Lepisosteus oculatus: one gene and its partner. The protein of the gene in region 2 interacts with the protein of the main gene of each other region in a pairwise test. Links are inferred from orthologs where the notes say so. Each region holds a gene or a part of one and is shown on either strand. Other genes may lie near its edges.

Region 1 (9,965 bases), on a different chromosome or scaffold from region 2:
ACAGCGCAGCCCCGCTCAGCCAGAAAGGGTTTGATTTGCGCCCCCACCCTATCCCCCTCTGTCCTGGGGAGCTCCACCCACCTGTGAGCCAGCCCCAGGGCCATGGCACTCATCTCCCTGGGGGGCAGGCCGGTGATCAGCCCCTCCATCTGGTTCCGGATCCCCCTCATGAGCTCCGCCACGGCTGGGCTGTGCACGCAGCTCAGGTTCAGCTTGTCCTGTGGGGGGCGGAGTGGGATCTTAGTACACACACACACCAGGAGGACATCGTGTTTTACCTCTAGGCTGCCATTTAACAACCCCCCACCCAATACACCCTATCAAACTGTCTCACAACGCATCTCCAAAGTGCTTTGATCCAATACAGACACCAAGAATAAGATGTAAACTTTAAATCATACCGACACTTTATATTGTCTACTACCAACAAAAGAAATTGAAGTCTATCCCACTGCTTTAATGATGCAGGTGCAGCACACCTGGCAGACATCCAACTTTAAGTGATCTCAACAAGATCTAACACCCTTGTCAACCTTACAAGAGCCTGACACTGATGGCTGCTGGGAGCACTGCGGGTTCTGTGTTTTTAATTGAGGAAGGAAATCAAAGAAGCAACATGAGGTTTTCTGCCATTTCCTTCTTAATATTTAAGAATGCACACAACTATCAATGCCTGCGGGTTCTCAACCAGTGAAAAGGCGCAGCTAAGGTTTTTTTTCTGGTGTCAGAGCTACCCTGAACTGCTTGATTGACAGCAGGAAAAAGTCCTTGACACGTGGCAATCACAGGAGCTGGGAATCACCTCCCTAGCCGCGTGATCTGGGGGGAATCTTTTAACAGGCTGACAGAATTCTTGGGATCATTAAGCCACTGGAAACCAAAGACACAAAAAAAGGGGCCTCCGCATTCGCAAACGCGGAAACTTCAAAACGTCAACCGGTCATCTTTACGCAAAGGCCCAGGGAGCCGCGGTCGTACTTTGATCACGCCGCCCAGTTTGGCATCGCTGATGGCCAGCTGCTCGTGGGCTTCCTTCGCCACAACCCTCTTCAGGACCTTCTTCAGGCTCTTCCCGATCTTGCCCTCCACCAATGCGGTGGCAGCTAGCGAGAGATTTGGACAGCGTTAGGCGTGGCGGGCAGACCAGCAATGGCCAAAACAAACCACCAAGGAGCGGAGGGAGAAGCCCGTGGCCCACAAACGCCAGCAGGCAATGTTTCTCCCCCGAATGCGATCGATTCTCCCGCTGCACTGCTGTCTCAGTGGTAGTGACGAAAACTGAAAATTGACCTCATTTGTTTTTCACTCAGGCAACACAGAATGCATCATCGACAGCAGAGTCAAAAGTAAAAACTACCATGTAGGCCTTAACTGCATTTTTTTACAGGTTTCCTTTTTTTGTTTGAGTACTGGTTGTCAACGGCTCTCACAGAACATAACTGTAAAAGTTAGGGGTGAACTAACTAAGGATATGACAATATCTGTGTATTAAACTAACAGAATAAAAACAGTTTCTCACAAAAACCTTTTTTGTATGTTCACGTACAAGCACAGGAAGCAATAAAACCAAAAACTTTTCGCATCAGGAGACGCGAAGAACCACATACATGGAAGTGCAGGACTGTTTGGGATACCACTAAATTCTTAAATTGAACCCCAAAAAACATCGTACCTGCCAGTGCTTCTGTGGTGTCCTGGAATTTTTCAAAGTGTTTGAGTTTCACTCTGGCAAAAGAAAGATTAAATTCAGATCAAACAATCAGAAAAAAAGAACTGACTTAAGCGTATTCAAAACACTTGATAAAATAACACATATCCAGAGCAGACTGTTTAATCTGTACAGGAATTGTCACCAGCCTAACACAGTACTCTGTCAATCAGATTAAATAAAATGACTTGTTTTATACAATTCTGTCCAAAGTATGCATACTGTAGGTTTTCCACTTAAATAAAAGCTTAGTCTAGTTTCTGGGAAGTTGAAGATTTATACAGAAGGGTTGATTTCAATCCTAGAGGTTGGTAACATACCTACAAGGTAAAAGAAAAGCCTTTAAACGTTTAAAAAAACCACAAAATGAAAATGTATTTACATTTTATTTGCTCTTTCTGGAGTCTGGAATTCTTCCCACAATTTGTCCACCTCCTGGAGTTTTTTCTCATTGAGAACCTGAAAAAAAAGTTTAAGGGGTTAGAAACACTAAAAAGAGTCGCCTGTCGACTCACTATGGATTAACTCATTTTTAAACAGATCTTGGGCTACACTGCTTATCCTTACCGGTTGTCTTATTCGACATTTTCTTATTAAACGATTTTGACTTCGACCATTCCATCAAGACAGATATATCAACTCCCACTCCCACTGAGCGTTCAATAAAGTTCCCCAATGTAGCTGCACCTATTCCCCGTCAAGCCAACAGAACGAACGTCTCTTTACCTGCTTTGTAACATTTTGTGTAAATGCAGAACTACATTTTCCCTCATACTTTTCACCCTGGAATTAACGTCTTTTTCTTGTTGCATCAGCAAAGTTTAACAAGAAAAAAACACAACGTGAAATCGTGCCCTGCGTTAGAGATCATATTGAGATCAAACACGCCGAGCCAAAAGTTGTTCCAATGCAATACACCTCTAACCATCTAACGATACTTTTCTGAAACTGTTTAGCGTTTCGCTAAATATATATATAAAAAGTGGACGATCGTTTCTTTCATGCGCCCAGAATTCTGAAACCTTTCAAAAAAAGGTTTATTAGCTGCGATTTTCAGATTCTCTCTCTACTCGTCTCAGCAGGCTGTTTTCATTCCGATTTCTGCAAGATCGAGCAATCAGATTTGGAAAGCATGAAAGTTAAAAGTCCTCGACCTAATGCCAAGTTACATGTAACCCATGTGGCCAGTCTGCACGCAACGTGGTAGCAGAGAGCGACGGGCCCGCACTCCAAACTTCTTCCCCTACACCTTTTCGTAGACAATTTCGCACACCAAGATCACCGCGTACCACCATTCATGCCCAGATCATTTTAATTTCCCTTAAAACACTTTTATTTGAATGAACATATCGGCAACGCGGGCAAAAAGGACACGCACACGGTAGCACAAGATGGTCCCTTTGCTCTCCTTAGTTCAAATTACTGAAGCCCCCACCCATTTATTTTTCCTTACCTTAAAAATTGCATAGCCAGCGGCGGTCTCGAACAGCACCAACATCTTCGATCATCTAAGGACGTTTTCCAGCCTCTAAACGTGGATTTTTCCTTTACTTAGGATCGGCACGCTCCTCCACCACGGGCTTCTGCAGAGACCCTCCACGCGGTGTAGGATCCCGAGACTGCGCACTCCAGGCGCCTGCGCGCGGGGGCGGAGCCGCACACCGGAAACGGAAGGGCTGTGTTAGGAACCGGAGACGAGACCCAGGAGGCACGCTCGAGTGTTTCCGAACCTTTCCGAGTCTTTCCGAAGGCCCATTGAGTGTTTTAAAATGGTTTCAATGTAATGGGTGCTCATCAAGAAAGATCCGACAATACACTTTTGCCTGTCTCGCCTCGCACCTTTTTGCTTATCAGATACAAAAAACCCGTGAATATATCACAAATAATCACAAATAAATTTGACATTGGATGGACGGACATTGTGCTTTGGCTATCCAGTCAAAGCGTTTTGATGGCATACTTATTTCGAAAATACGTCACACGCGGTTGTGTTATATCAAGCCTTCAGCTCACGCAAAAAATGTCAGTTGCATTAGACAAGGACGTTTATTTAAGGGAATAAATAAAAGAAGAACTTTTAGTCTTCTGATGCTGAATGTTTTTTGTATAATGATAAGAAAGAGACACTCACGGCTCTAAGTCTTGACACTGTACAAGTGTATTCATTTATACTATTAATTTACTACATTGGCATTGATCAACAGTTCTTATTTTAAAGTTCTTATACAGACATACTGTATTTAAGGGATGCACTTTGGTGCAGTGGTTAGCAGTCTCACAGTGCTGGGGTTCAATTCCTGGGCTGCTATCTCTGTGCTCAGTTCTACCTCTGGGTGCTCTTCTTTCCTCCTACAGTTCAAAGACATACTGTTAGGTTAAATGGCTTCTGGGAAGATTGACCCTGGTGTGTCTGTCTGCCCTGTGGTTGACTGGTGTAATGGATGGATGATTTTTCCCATAGGAAAACAAGACCCGGCCTATAATAAACACCAGTCCTTAAGAGAACACGGTATTCAGCATTGGTCATCACAGTCTCAGGTAGAACATTTACAGTATGAGCTGAAGAAAGCAGATTTCAGGCACAGATCACACAACCAAAAGACGTTCGATATGAGAACCTTAGGATGAGACGTAAAACCGAGTTCCTGACTCTCTGTGGTCATTAAATATGCCAGGGCGTTTCTCGAAAAGAGTAGGGGGTGTAACCCCAGCGTCCTGGCCAAATTTCCCATTGGCCCTTACCAATCATGGCCTCCTAATAATCCCCATCTATGAATTGGCTTCATCACTCTGCTCTCCTCCCCACTGAGAGCTGATGTGTGGTGAGTGTACTGGTGCCCTATGGCTGCCATCGCATCATCCAGGTGGATGCTGCACATTGGTGGTGGTGGTAACTTGTGTAATGTATTAATATAATATTAGACTACTGAACGTATATAGTAGATACTATATTGGTTCTACTAGATACTATATTGGTAAGTACTATTGTAGCTCTACAGTATAGTATTTCAGTACACCTCGCAGTGTATACCATAATATTTCACTCTAATATTTAACCATATCACAAATATATATATATAAAGTCCATACTATAGTAATGTTACAGCACATACTGTACATTAGTTAAGAATTTCCCAAATTATAGATGTTATAAAATATAAATTATATTATCATTCAAATAAACAAAATGTTATTTTAGTTGTTATATTAATCTATAGACTCATACTACACGTCCATCCTATAGTAAAGTGCTGTAATTTTCCAAACATGTTTTATATTGTCTTCTAAGCTTTCACGAATAGGGCATGAGCTAACTTTATAAAACAGAGCTCTTCAAAGAATATATGCGTCCTCATTATTTTCACTGGGATGAATCTTAATCAGACCCGGTACCTTTGCCAACGTGGGTCTCCCTGTAAGCAGGATGTACGAAGAGGACCATCCGAAAAGCACATTTTAAAAACAAAATTGTTTTCTCTTTGGCTACACGACCAAATGACGTCACTTCCCGAGGAAGTCCCTCCCCGATTCCAATGAGGTCAGTGTCTGTGTTTTTGTGGGGGGATTGTAGGAAAGAGAAGAGCGCTTAATACTAAATAACATCATCATAAAATATCAAAGATTTAGTTGTAAGAGTCACAGGGAAAAACAGAAGCAAGCATGTCTGATACGGTAAGTCTGTGATCTGTGTATAGGAACTAAACATCTATATTAGCTGATCAGACTCGGTGTTTTCGGGCGCATAGCGTGCGTGTACTGTGAATCAAGATACAGCCTGAATAATAAATAATTATATTTTACTTTTATGAAAAAAATACAGTATATTAACCAGTAATGGAATGGGCGTTTAAAACTTTGTCAGAAACTAACGGGTCTGTTCAAGAGGAGTTGAGATATCTGCAATTTACAGCGCCGATGTGCTTAGGGGTACTGTTCTTGATGTCTCAGAATTTAAACGAAATAATCTTTAAAAAAATCGAGAGTGGGGAAGGCTGGGTTGTCTTTCGGTACAGTGCATGCATTTGTTTTGCCGAAAAATTAACAAATGTGTAGGGATTGTTTTTTAGGACTCTTCGGTATTCAGTGAAAAGCGATCGTGGCCCACTGGTACTGTCGGGAGTGAAACTGAAAATAAATGGATTGTTGTAGTTCGGAGTTGAAATGAAGGTTTTTGTTACTTAAGTGAAGTTAATTTCCTTCCGAAGCTGAACAGTAGATTTTGTTCTTCGCAACGTAATAAAAGGGCAGGAAAGCACATCGAGTCCTTAAAATAGGTGTCGAGACACAAGTAACTGCTTAAGGAGTTGTATTTAACATAAGCGGTAGTACAGTGATGGATGATAGTAGTTTGAACATTTTTATGTTTTCATATTTTTATGATTGTCTTTTAAGATGAGAAAAAGGGCACTAAAACCACCATATTGCTTGATATAATAGATACAATAAACGTATGTCTGTTGGCCTCTACAACTCTGGGATTTGTAGAAAGCAGCAGAAATGGCTTCCTACTTGCCTTTGCATATATTTGCCTCTGCCTTCCTTACATGAGTAGAGCCTGCAGTTATGGTGAACTTGGGCCATGAGAGTGTTGTGTTGTATGGTCCCATAGGACCGCAGTTCAGCAAAAGGTCTGCATCTCTATACGATTCTTGCTTTTGAGCTTCAGAAAGAGTTAACTCAATTAAAGAGATCAAGTGGAAAGGATCTTAAAGAAGGCTGCAATCCATCACCCCAGATCTGATAGATGCTTTAATGGCAAGACACTGGGATAATGAGTGGGGGAAAAAAAGGAATTATTTCTGAAGTTTGTGTGGACACAAAGACGAGGCCTACAGTGTAAAGTTGAGCCTGTCTGTTAAGATTATTGGCAATTCTGTCATGGATTGGCTCGACACAAATGTGCCGCGAGTCAAGAATTAACTAGTAAAACATACATGTGATATTATAGCTTCACACATTAAGACAGGGAACCCCAAAAAAACGCAAAAGCCCAAAACCCCATATGTTTGTTGGTTGTTTTGCCAGCCGCAGTGCTTATATTTAAGTTGCTGACTTCCAAACACACAAGTAGAGGGATGTAGAAGCCGAACTGATATCCTATAGCCACCTCAAAATCCAGCAGTGGTAGTAAAATAATTTGTTTGCCACATTGTCACGACAACAGCTCTTCGAAGGTTTAGAACTCCCTTAAACGGGTAGATAACAAAGAAACCCTTTGGCGCAGCCCTTAAACTTGCAGGGATTTGACGAAAAAGCGTGTTTGTAGCGCCGCGAAAAAACAGTGAGGTAACTATCAATGAATGTAGTTTCTCTGATCAGAGATTTGGGTGCAGCGCCGGGGCCGTGGGTTAAATTCCTGGAGCTGGGGTGCTGTCTGTGTGGAGTTTGCATGTCCTCCCTATGTGTACGTGGGTTTCCTCTGGTTGCTCTTACAGTCCACGAACGTACCCGCAGTTTAATTGGCCCGAGGGGCGAGTGTGTGTGTGCCCTGCGATGGATAGGCATGCTTTCCTGGGTGAACCCTGACTTGTTAGCCTGTTGTTAGTCCTGATTGGCTCCAGCTCCCCTGTGACCCTGTATCGGATAAAGTGGTTACGAACTGGATGGAGGATCAGAGATTTCAGGTACATTAGGACCTCACTGCAAATTCTTTCTTTGTTTTATGCTCTTTTAAATACTGAGTTAAGTGTTGTATAGCGCCGAATGAGACACTTTCTGTATCGGCCTCTCTGTGTGCATCTGTGAGCTCAGCGCTGTTTATTCAGAAGACAAAAACAGAGATGGAACCAAATATAATCTTAACTGTACAAAGCAGTTGTTATGGATACCACCTATTACACGAATTGTTTCCTGGAATGGGTTTTCGAAGAATTTTACGGTTAATCTTGTAGAACTTTAACCATCACGGGCATAATATTGTAGGGGCAGCTGTTTTCAAAGATCCATACAAACCAAGGATGGGAACAGAGCTTTGTTCTTTTTGACAATATACAGGAGACACAGGCCCAGACAAACTGGAGAATTCTAAACGCAGGTCTGCTCTTTACAGAGGCAGTGTACAACTTACGTACACTTCCTGTATGTTTTCATTAAAGCAATTTTCATTTGTATCCTTCATTATTCATTTTTTTTCCATCCTAGGTATGCTGTGTAAATACTTTGTTTCTGTTTTGACCACTTTGCGTTACAAGCCGATGCTGCTGTTGTGTTACAGATCGATTGCGGGATGTGCAGTTGAAATGAGATTGTTCTGCTGATATCTGAGACTTACATTTAAAAATAATAATAATTGCTTACATTTATATAGCACTTTTCTGGACATTCCACTCAAAGCGCTTTACAGGAAATGGGGACTCCCCTCCACCACCACCAATGTGCAGCCCCACCTGGATGATGCGACGGCAGCCATAGTGCACCAGAACGCTCACCACACATCAGCTATCAGTGGGGAGGAGAGCAGAGTAATGAAGCCAATTCATAGATGGGGATTATTAGGAGGCCATGAGTGGTAAGGGCCAATGGGAAATTTGGCCAGGACACCGGGGTTACACACCTACTCTTCTCAAGAAACGCCCTGGGATTTTTAATTATCAAAGAGAGTCAGGACCTCGGTTTTATGTCTCATCTGAAGGATGGCACCTTTTTAGAGTATAGTGTCCCTGTCATTATACTGGGTTATTAGGACCCACATAGACCACAGGGTGAACGCCCTCTGCTGGCCCCACTAACACCTCTTCCAGCAGCAACCTTAGTTTTTCCCAGGAGGTCTCCCATCCAGGTACTGACCAGGTTCACACCTGCTTAGCTTCAGTGGGTTGCCGGTTGTGAGTTGCAGGGTGATATGGCTGTTGGAAGCACTATTTTAGGGGTGGAGAACCCTTAGGCTGGATGTCTAAGTCAAGAATGAAAGAACATTTACAAACGAGAGGAGTCCATTTGGCTCATGGTAGGTAGTAGCAATTCATAAGTTTGTAAAGACTTGAAGCACATCTAAGCATTGATCAGTTCAGTAAGTTAATTGGTTCAATAAGTCCGGAAAAGCCAACTACAGTCCTTGAGTGCTACAGGGTGTTGGTATTTTGTTAATTTAGAAGGTCTCTGAACTACTTAATTGAAAGCCAAGGTTTTTCATCAGAATTCCTTTGGTTCTGGATGGTTCTACGCAAACACATTGGGCAAACACACAAAACCCATTGCTCTCTGCTGTCAATAAATGTTATGGGTGGAGCATAGAGCTGAAACCAACCAGCCTTAAACCTAAGAATCGAAAGTGAGCAATTAAGACAAAATGATCATTTCCTCACTGCCGTTCCTACCTTGCTGGTGTTGAAGTTGATTACGTGTGACTCATAAAACCTGCTGAGTTGTGGTTGCTCATGACCAGGACTGGACAAGCCTATTAAAATTGGCCCGCCACCTTTATAATTCTCCTTGACATTTACTCTGGTTGAAATTGGAGACATATCATCACCAGCTGTTGTGGCTGGGCTATCAAATGAGTAAATCTGATGTAATCTTGGAGAGATGGGAGCAAACCAGGACATGCACAAACAAAACCCACTAGAGAACAAGCCGCAAAAATAAGATCAAGAATGCAGATGCAAGACTCCATAATAGCTTAGTTCTCAAGTATAACGTAAGTAACATCTAAAATGTTTTCTCTTAAACTTGTTTTGCAAAGTCCAGCCAAACTGAATAAATGGAAGGGACACTAGGGTTTCATTGTTACATTTGTCTAACAATCCTGTGTGTTTAAACATACTGCGCCCGACAGTATTCACTTTATAAAATGTGTTGACATCATTTGTAATTCGACAAAATGGGGCATCATTGGAAGGCAGTGAATACTTTTGCAAGGCACTGTATGTTAATATTGTAATCGAATGTTCAAATCTTAACTTCAGGCTATGAATTGGCTACATTAATCTGCTCTCCTCCCCACTGAGAGCTGATGTGTGGTGAGCGTTTTGGGGCACTATGGCTGCCGTCGCATCATCCAGGTGGGGTTCCAAATTGGTGGTGGTGGAGGGGATCCCCATTACCTGTAAAGCAATTGGAGTGGAGTGTCCAGAAAAGCGCTATATAAGTGTAAGCTATGAATTATTATGTGACTAACTAACTAATATAGTGACTCTGTCCTTTGGATAAGCTGTATAACTGAGGTCCTGACTCTCTATGGTCATTACAAATCCCAGGGCGTTTCACGAAAAGAGTAGGGGTGTAACCTCAGCGTCCTGGCCAAATTTCCCATTGGTTT
Region 2 (10,544 bases):
CCGACTTTCAAACCAGCCCCCTAGAGGCAATCTTATTTCTTCTTGCTCGCAGATTAGGTTGAATTTAAGTCAGAGTTTCAGAAGCATGTCAGGCTGCTCTGGTATTGCACAATGCTGACACACAAGATTTACAAAGAGCTCCTGCTGCCAGACTAAATTGGCCTCTTCTGCAGGCCTTGGACATGTAACCTAGGAACAGCCCAGTACTAGTCTGTTCTATTTACAGAAATCTTTTTTTACCCTCTTTGTGAATTTTGATGTGAAATTAAAACAAAAAAACTCTTCAGAGTAAGATTCCCCATTTACTTTACTTAACCTAATACGTATTACATCTGGTTTTAAGTTACACGAAATAATCGATGCAGTCCTAATCTTTCTAAAACACATTTCTACACCTCAGAATGGAAAAAACATCTGCTAGTGTATTCCAACAATTAAGAAAGGAACTTATTAAAGTAGCATCAAAAGACCTATCGACACTTAAATTACAATAGTGAATATTATTCCTTCTAGTTCAGTCATAAAACCATTCTTTACATCTGTTCAGCAGGTCTTTGACATTTCACGGTACACAAAAAATGCTCTTACTGTATATGTTTTCTCTCTCTACAGGAACATCCGAAACAAGGACAAAAGGGAGACTCCAGGATAAATTACAAGAATATAAAACAAAAAGAGCAAAGAGTAACATTGTGAATTGGCATGAAAGACATTTTCTGCATGAGCACGACAACTCTTCAGTACACCCCAATCAAAGCAGAATAGCCAAGGCAGTGTCAGTACAGCACTGCCCAGGCCTCTGCTGTACAAAGCACATGCAGCTCCTCCAGTACACCAGCTTACTGAAGCTTCTGCTCACTTCACAAACAGTGGTAAAACATTTAATATTGAGCAAATAACACTATTCTGTCTGCCTGCTTGTTTTGCGTAGCCTACCTTTCTCCCAGAAACACAGATCATCTAACGACCCCCCCCGGAAGAAATGCAAAGAACACATTAGAAGCATTTTTCAAAGTGTATCTTCTGCTTAATGATAGCAGTTCAGGCTGTCCCATGAAAGTACTGTATGCTGCTTCATCTATAAGGCTTAAATTTAAATTCACACCTTTACCAGTGAAATGGAACTACCTACCAATGACATCATCCCTTAAAAGCATTTAGCAAAAACAGTCACAAATGTAATTCTTTTAAGAAATGCAATATGAAAACACAGCCACATTTGCATTTTCTCATTAGGTTGCAAGGCATAGTACACGTATGTTATAAAGGGCTTCTGAAATCTCTCATTTTATATCCTTAATGGTCAGCAAGCATTACAGTAGAAACATACTGTAGATCACATCAGAATAATTCACTAGGGCCTCCGCAGCCTCATATCTAAGAACCTAAAATTACATCCTACTCCATTCACCAATCACTTCCTACCTTTGCAGCAATTAGTTGTTCCTGGCCCAAAATCATATCCTAAAATCCGTTTTCACCTTGTTCATGAACTACCAGATTTAAAGGTTTAATTCTGCACACCGCTATTCAGACTATGGTGTACAGAACGTTACCACCATAACTGGACAGACATGACATTAACAGAGAACAGATAAAGATCAGATAAAAAAGGTCAAAACCATTGAAACAATGCTCAGAATCTCCAGTGCCTTCCTGAAAGAAGGAATGCTTCTAAGGTGTATGCAAGATTCTAAAAAGCTAAAAGTGTCTATTTTGTTTTTCTCGAATTTGTCACCTTTCAACCACAGTTTGTCACTTATCTATCACCTTCCTGGACCAGGCAGGAAAAAACGAAACCATCCTTCTATACTGTATATGTAGCATCACACTGGACCAAAATCATAATGCTGCATTGTTCTATACTGACAAAGCCATCTCCTCAAGGGCAATGCACCAAGTTCAGCTTTCACTTTTAATTGATGAAGGTTTAAGTTTTACTAAAGACACTTGCAATTCCTGTACAGCAGGCAACTACCACTTTTTTTTACAATAGCAGATTTTCGATCTCAAGTGTGAGGTTCAAAACATCACGTTGTCAAAAAGCTCAAGCCTATGAAGACACAGCCAAGAGGAGTTTTAGTAGATATGATGCTCAACTCACCATCTGGAGTCCTGTGGTCTGACTCTTCTTCTCTCACAGTAAGACTATCGGAGAGTCCCTGCAGCTTTGAGCTGTTCTCCTCGGTGTCACCCAGGGGAACAGCATTAAGGATTCTTGCCAAGGCTTTGGATAAGACAGGGGCCTCCGATTTATTTTCCTGGGGAGCTGTCACCTGCAAGAAGCAGTTAAGACAAGATCAGGGATCAATACAATGCAGATGATACCACAGCAAAGAAAACACTCTACAAGACCTTGGCTGTTTAAATGTATGGAAAGTTCTATTGCACACACCGTGCACGAAACACTGGACTGCTGGACATTTCCCCTGACAGGGAGGTTTGATTAAATGTGTGTTTGACTGCAAAATGCAAAAAGGCTTCTCACATGTTACATTTGAAAATACCGAGACATCACTGCCAGCATACTAGGACATTCATTATCTGGAAGAAACAAATCAGGACACTGCTCACGTCAGCAAAGGCACCGGTTCTTTTTCAGCTTTTATTTAGTGATGAAACAGTCTCCCTGTAAAACCTATACATAAAACGTCAGAACGTTCAGGTTCTGATCAAAATATTCACTTTAAAAACATGTGTATACTTCATTTGTAATTCACTCAAATGGGACATTATTGGAAAGTAAGAGCTGGTATAAGACGCTGTATATTTTATTTTTAGGCAAGCCCATGCATACATATGATCATTTTAGAATAAAATCTGGGTTAGGGTTAGGGTATTGGGACACCTTCACTTTCAGCAAACTTGATAGCGTAAAAGCCAGTGTTTGGTTGCTGATCCCTTTGGGACAATAACAGAACAAAGTCTGCGATCCACACAAAACCCTAAGTCTAATTATTTAAGATACTTTTAGCTGCAGCTACTTTGGGTTCTTTGGATGTTGCGAGTTCAGTTTCTCTTCATCATACTGTATGAAATGCATGCTCAACTGGGGAATGACGTAGTCAGCTTTTCTTTTTTTTTACCTCCACTTCATCCTGCAGAAGCCCCAGTCTCAAGGAATCTGAACCTTCTCAGTCAGTCAGTTAGTCAGTCTGATTTATGAATCACATATCTAGAGCGTAGTAATTTACGGCCCATAAACCTAAATATCAAATTCCATTTCACAACATCTGCACAGTACAGGGGGGTTTAAAATGGAAGTTGTAAGCAGCCTGGGGCTACTGAGCGAACGCCTTACCTACCTTGTTCAGCGCATTGCACAGCGGAGGGCTGGGGCGTTTCGGGTCGGGCACAGAAGCAGCTCTCATGTGCATCGATGCCGGGGGCACAAACCTGGGCTTCTTGGCCACATTGCCACACAGCTGACTTGGAGCCCCTGACCTGCGCATACTGAGATACCAGCCCACCTGCAGGAGTTCAGAAACAGAATAGTTCTATTGAGGCATCGCGTGGGCAGGCTTGCTGGCCCCTGGGTCTTACGATAGCAATGAAAGGCCATGATTGCGATGGACAGGTAATTGGACAACACTATCCTCACGCTGGTGCTCACTAACCTCGGGGAGAATTTTATGAGAGTAGGGTTAAATCTAGCAACCTAATTACGCTTAGGATGAAATCGAGGGTATTGTTGATCTCTTGAAAAGGGATCCTTCAGGCAAATAAGATTTAAACAGCCCAGTACTATGGATATGTTTCCCAAAATATGATGAGTAACATTTCTCTACTTCAAAATGCAGATTACATACAACAAAGCAGCAATTAAAAAAATGATCATCCGAATAAATTACAGATTACAGGTAATCTCATTGGGAGATTTATTACAAATTCATTTTTAAAAAATCATGCCGTTTCTCGTTAGCCTTCAAACTGACACGTCAGTGGACATAACAGCACAAACTGTTCCATATGTAGCTACATATCGTACCGAAACTTAAAGATTATTTTAGCATCTCCGAAAAAGACCTTATATAGACTTACTATATTAAAACAGAGCACATAAGCAGAACTGCCAGTTAAACGGCCGTCCGATTACCTTTATGTTGTGTCTATTACCTGAAAGCTAGACCCGTTTTTAAATGATGTGCTTATATGTCCGATCTAGGTAGTTGTGGGAATGAGAACCGTCGATAATAACGATCCAACAGCCTTCCGTTTTATTAACTGTGGCATAAAAAACAAAACAAAATAGTCAACCTTATCCACGATATACAGCACCGCATTATTACTTACATTAGAAACTTGCAACCAAGCGGGCTAGACGGGCCAAATGACGCCCTTTCTTATGTTTTTATGTTCTAGGTAGACAGAACCCCTCTATACCACAATAAAGATTATTTTTTTTCCCTACAAATCCTCTTCTTATTTCCTCCCGGCGGCGGCCACCTCCGTAGACTCAAGTCTCCCGCGTAACCAGGATCCGCCCTCCGATAGGCCGCGGTCATGGGGCGGAGATACGAGTGCTCCCACCTTCATTTCGCAAAATGAATAGCCTTGCTATTATTAACCTTATAATTATAAGCTCAAATAACGTGAACACAAGAGATTAATGTTCAGACGTGGATAAAAAAGCATCTTATCAGTAAATAAAAAACCTTTTTTGTGCTTTACCGTCACTTCTTGCCACACCGATTATGGTCGCCGTTACACTCCATCTCATGGCGGATGTAAATGTATTTTTAATAGGACGCAGGAATCTGGTCCATAACGTATCATTAGTCTTTTTCATTTTCTATATAAAATACAGAACCACCCGTATTGAAAGCTCGGGTTTAGAAATTAAAGAGAAAAATCCTTAAAACCGCTCCTGCCACACTGCCGAATCACCCCTCGCCGTTTTTTTTGCCGAGTGAATGTCAATATATCGCCACAGTTTGCGACAGTTGGTTCTTGTCACCTGAAAACAGCAGGTAAATAAAATACATTGAAGTAGAGGAATCGAGGGTAAGATACGCGGTGCGTTTTAATTATTCGTATTTGCCTTCCATGTAATTACAAAAAATATTTTTATACGACATTCTGATGCAAAAATACTGAATACTGAAATGACTGGTTTAACTGTCATTGTGCAGAAAGCTTTTCAAATACTATAAGAAACGTAACAATTAAGTCTATATTAAATGGTAAGTTGATTTATGTTTTTCATATGCATATAGTGCTGTGCATTGTGAATTCTGCCAACTTCTCTCCTGCACTGGCTTTCTGTAAATTGTAAAGAACTGTAAATATTTTAAAAACTAAACTTTAAAACAACAGTTCGTACGTACAGTAGTAGCAGTGTAGTGGTGATGTACAAGCATTGCATAAGATTGTCCGGTTATCAAAACAATCAATAACTTTAGGTACTGTAGGTGTACAAACCACGAAGTAAGAGGATAAGATAATAAACGATAATAAATATTTATTATTTTCCCTTTTGAGCTCAGCATCCATGAGCTTCAGTATAACAAGGGTTTCTGTTTGATCCGGTAAAGATACCTTGCATTGTTACTAATACGATATTAACATGGGGGAAGTTGTTAAAGTAGTAGTCTGAAATGGCATAGACGTTCTCTATGTGGACGTCATGAAGCTGAACAGTGTTCGGTAAGTATAGCATCTCAGTTTAACATTGCGCTTTCGAAACGATACAACACAGAAGCTTAGTTGTAGAATTTACCAGTTGTAATTTCTTACAGCTTGTAAGAAATTTACGATTACCAGCACAGAGCAAGGGAAAAGGGTTGTGTGTCTGATGAAGCATGCTGGAGAATCAAGGCTTACAAACTGCAGCAGTGCCAGTCTGTAACTTACAGTGTAAGGGGTTACAGTACATGCAGATAGTGGAAACATAAACTGTGATTAGAAGATAGGGGGAAAACACTGATCTGAACACTGAAAATGCTGCTTATGAAAAGGAAAAGGTAAAGGCATTTGTGCAGTAGTAAAGATTGCACATCTGCAAACTGCCTCGCAGAGCTTGGCAGATTTCACTGTGTGACTGCTATCTTTATTAAAAAGAAAAACATTTGTTGTGTTTGTATTTGGGTTAAATAATTTCGTACATTCAGTTCCAAAAGGAGGTTCTAAATGCACAGGTATGAGCTTGTGCAGTTCTGAGTCTTGGATAAACTTGCTCCATGTATCGCACCAGTCCAGGGGAGTGTGATCCGGATGGCAGGGTGGGTGGGGATACACCACGAGCCCTGTCCCTTGCTGGTGGTGGACTGTGATGCACCCTCCAGTCCCTCTCTCACGTCTCTATCTGTTTTACCCGGTGGAGAAGGTCTGAGTCACAGTGGTTCAGGGACCCATCAGCCCCTTTAGGGCACCCTAGGCCCTCTGACGCAGTGGCAGAAGTGTGCGGATGTGTAAGAGAGCTGGGTGGAGCTAAATAAAACCAGTCTTTCCCTGAACTACATCTAGTGGATAGTGCGCACATCTACTTTACCTGTTGGCCTTCCCTCATAAATTTCTGTGTTGACATCTGTCCATCGATTTTCTAACCACGCCAATGCATCCCATTCACAGGAGGAGCCTGGCACAAGGGGCACGAGGCGGGGTACACACTGAAAGGGGCACCAGCACACACAGTCGTACACACACCAAGGCCAGTTTTCCCTGAAGCCAGTTAACCTACCAATATGTCCTGGGATTGTAGGAGAAAACCTATGTGAACATGGGGAGAACATGCAAACTCCACACAGACAGCAGCCCAGGTCCGGCATGGAAACAAGGGCCCCAGCACTGCGAGGCATCAACGCTAACCCTTGTGCCACCATGCCATGCCACCCTCTGTGTTGACAGTGTTTTGTAATGGCTTGTTGTTTTTCGGATGACTCTACCATAAAGTAGTGTGTTATATTCAGGGTATCGTCACCTACAGCGGAGTTGTAAGAATAATCTTTGACATGGCGGTTACTTAAATGCTGACTTATGTACCATGTGCCTTGAGGTACTTTAGGTGATGGTGCTAATTTATCTTTTTTTTCCAGAGTGACAGCCTTCCATAACAGTATTTGTGTGTAATATTTGTTTTCTTGATATTGGTGTAGACAGATTGAGCATATGTTACAAATGTCAGGCAGTTGTAAAATGTCCCTTATGCAAAAAGGTTTCTAAAAAAGAGAAGAAATTCAGTCAGTGAAGGAGGGGTTTTGAACTGAACGCCTTTGCAGTCAGAATACATTTTGGTCTTTGTTTTTTAGACTGCTTGATATAAACTACAAAGACACCTCTCTACTAACAGTGGAAGGTGAAATTGTGGATTTTGTTCTACACTGCTGAAATGTCATTAAGCTAATACCATTAACTTGTAGGGAGATTCTAAGTGCATTCAAGGTCATGGTAGCTTAAGTGCTGGTTGATTGAGGTTATCTTATTCGAAAAGGAATCCATTTCACTCCAGACACGATATCACGTCAGCTGAGGGTCACATGAGCGCTGGGCCTCCATTGTTGCACCTAATATAGTGAGAATTGATTTGAACAATCAGTACGTTTAGTAAAATGGAGGTGTAAGACTAGCGAATCCTAACATCCATCCAGTATCATAAAGCTGCTTATCCTGGTAGGAGTCAGAGCAAGCCAGAGGCACCAGGCAGGGCTGGGAGCGCATTTGCTTGTTCTCCCTCTGGATGGGAAGCCAGTCCTTTGAGGGGAGCTGCACTAACGCATCTATTGAAAGTGCTGCAACAAAAGGAGTGTTTAATGAGAAGGGGCGGCTTCTATCACCAGTGACTCCGAGGAAAACTAAACTCCTGAACTAACTTGGATTCATTGCACTTGCTGCAATTAAGTGAGTGACCCTCAAAGCCAAAAAAGAGGACATTTGCTTCCTTGTAAATTGATCATGTCAGAGAATTGTGTGCACAACTTTTACATGATGATGATGAAGTGCTCAGAATGTTTGATTTTATTTTTGCAAGGTTGATACTTATGTCCTTTTTTCTGCTTTGATATGCAAGAGAGAGACTTTCAGTAGCAAGTTTAAGATTAAGGTGTGTTTGTCTGGAAATGTAATGTATACTCGTAATGCAATTATTGATTTTCTATCAAAATTGATTTTTTTGCCAGTTTGGATTTGGACTAATAAAAAGCAGAGCAGGTTTATCACAATCATTCATTTCTGTCTTTTAAAATGCATTTTTAACCATTTTATTGGAGTACTTTATGGGGACTATAATTGATAATTATGTATCAATCATTTAGCCTTTCTGTAAACATTGTCTAGTATAACTCCTAAGTGTCTATAATTTCTGTACTTTTCAACATATTCTTATTGGCTCAGACCTTGTGGTATTGACATCTAAACATCAAAGCAGTAAATATACTTTTTCAAATAGGGCACATCCCCTTCCCTTGGCAATTCCCTTCCCTTGAAATTTGCCTGACACTTTGCATTTAACTCTGTGATGGGCCTCAGACTCAGATTTCAGGCATAAAATGAAACAAGGGCGTAGTGTACAATCTATCAGACATGTACAGAAATGTTAGGTTATGTAATTAAATCTGGTCAGAAATGGGAAAATCCCAGCTTTTCAGCCTTACATTTTACATTGCAAGAATTGAAGGGAAATATTTACAGTAGAAGATGGGCCTACTTGCAAGTTTTCAAATGAAACCATGACCCATCTCATGAAGGGGATGTCATGTATGGCTAATATTTACACTGTAGCCATTTCTCACAAAGTTTTTTTTTTAATCAACATTAAAGGTAAAGCCAACAATCACTTTTTATTGGTATGTCCCAGCTAATATAAATAGTTTTTTTAGCTTTTACTCAACCCTGATATGTTTGTTCTCTAACCGATGCTCCTGTTTTGTCATTTAAAATTTTAGAAAGGTCACCAAAAGTGAAATTAACCAGACGTTATCTCTTAACCCCTTGGTAGAAGAGCAGTGAGGAAGAATTTCAATTAGGAATATTTCCGGACCCGGCAGCAGAGCATCACCACTACAGAGTAAGAAACGCACAAGACAGAATGTGTCATAAATTACGGTGAAATAATCCATTAGGCAAACCCCATCTTGAGTGTGAAGTGAACTACCCAGTGAAGTCCTTTCACCTTTAGGAAGGTTTGCACTGTGCCCCAGCAGTGAGAAGCTAAAGGACAGGCCAGTGGCTGCCTCTTATTTCTAATTTTTCTTCATATCAGACATCAGAGCACATTTAAAAAGATATGGCTATACACCATAAGAAATTCAAAAATTTATTTTTTTTTACATATTTTTGTTTACAATTCTGAATTCTGGGTATTTTTTTTTTTTGCACTAATTTAGCAGGCGAAATTGGAAGCCGTGAAGAAGGAGGCTCTTTATTCGGATGGCTAAGGCGGGCACTGTGTCCGGTATCTCAGCAGAGGGCTGGGGGTGGCTGACATGCTACACCTCTGTGGGAATGCTCTCTAGGGGAAAGGCTGAAGCTCTGCCCATGTGAACGCGGGGTTATTGTTTGCTTTGTTCAACAACTGGCTGTTTGGGCTCCAAGTATCTGTTTCTTAGGAAACTCAACAGCTCATACCACGTTTCTGTCTCCCCCCCATACAGGCAGTGTCAGGGGCAGGAGTGAAGGATTACAGGGAGCCTTAAAAGGTGAGAAGGAGAGTGAAGTGAACTAGACAATTGAAGATGAACAAACAGAGCATCGGGAGAGGTGTTTTTCTGTTACTATCTTTTATCTTCACACGTCGGTGCGTGCTCACCTTTCCTGTATCCTGCCGTTCGTTGTCGTGATGTCTGCAGTGTGATTCTCGAGGTCTGTGTCCACAGCAGAATGTAATTAAAGATGTATGCTGTGCCTTGAAACTCAATAGGCGACGTGCAGTACAACTGCAGTCTGTAGCTGCTCGCCAGCTATTACCTCTTGCTCTTTAAGCCTTAATGCTGATGTTTGTAACTGGCTTTTTGAAATGAGAATTATGGGCCTTAAAGCAATCTCAGTTCAATTTTAATCCTGCAGGTTTGATGGTGCAAGTCATGGAGTCTTGAGACTTCGCATTCTTGTTTTCCCTGTGATGCATGCTTATTATCCTTATATACTCTACAGCCAGGTATCTTTTATGTTTCCTCGTTGATGTGGTAATAGTTATGTTTTGACTCCAATTTGCGGTTTGTTTGCCAGTAGTAAATTGCTTAATCTGCATCAGGGAGCCTGTTTTTCTGACGATAATGCTACCAGCCACCCCTGAGGTCAATGAAAAAGAAATAACACGCATGAGAGTTTGTTTTTTGAAGAAGATCGTCTACCTGATGAGGGGGATTTCTTTCCCCGTGTGTCCGTGTCTCAGTGGGCGTGCCAGATGGGTTATGACCTCGAGCGGTTTGTGGGCTACGTGAACGAGGGCCTGCTGTGCTGCGTGTGCCGCGATGTGCTGGAGGACCCCCTGCAGGCGCCCTGCGAGCACGCCTTCTGCAGCTCCTGCATTCACGGCTGGCTGGTCCACCACCACACCTGCCCCGAAGACAGGCAGGCCCTCGACGCCTCCCTGCTGCGGCCCTTGTTCA

The links.
Region 1: the proteins of rad54b (region 2) and sumo1 interact in a two-hybrid assay, tested with the Homo sapiens proteins (2 studies listed by BioGRID and IntAct). The two-hybrid records come from large-scale screens. The link is inferred for Lepisosteus oculatus from reciprocal best matches to the Homo sapiens genes RAD54B and SUMO1.

The regions. Positions count from the first base shown.
Region 1 is NC_090707.1:34,432,391-34,442,355, forward strand, and holds the start of sumo1 (small ubiquitin-related modifier 1), read left to right. Parts: upstream 1-5,225; 5' UTR 5,226-5,368; coding exon 5,369-5,380; intron 5,381-9,965. Other genes in the region: nop58 (nucleolar protein 58), read right to left, coding at 82-218, 979-1,103, 1,673-1,725, 2,091-2,167, 3,162-3,206. UniProt on the Homo sapiens protein: Ubiquitin-like protein that can be covalently attached to proteins as a monomer or a lysine-linked polymer.
Region 2 is NC_090705.1:7,543,167-7,553,710, forward strand, and holds the start of rad54b (DNA repair and recombination protein RAD54B), read right to left. Parts: upstream 4,755-10,544; 5' UTR 4,672-4,754; intron 4,650-4,671; exon of another isoform or gene 4,294-4,649; intron 3,471-4,293; 5' UTR 3,453-3,470; coding exon 3,306-3,452; intron 2,277-3,305; coding exon 2,105-2,276; intron 1-2,104. Other genes in the region: rnf41l (RING finger protein 151), read left to right, coding at 10,340-10,544. UniProt on the Homo sapiens protein: Involved in DNA repair and mitotic recombination. May play an active role in recombination processes in concert with other members of the RAD52 epistasis group.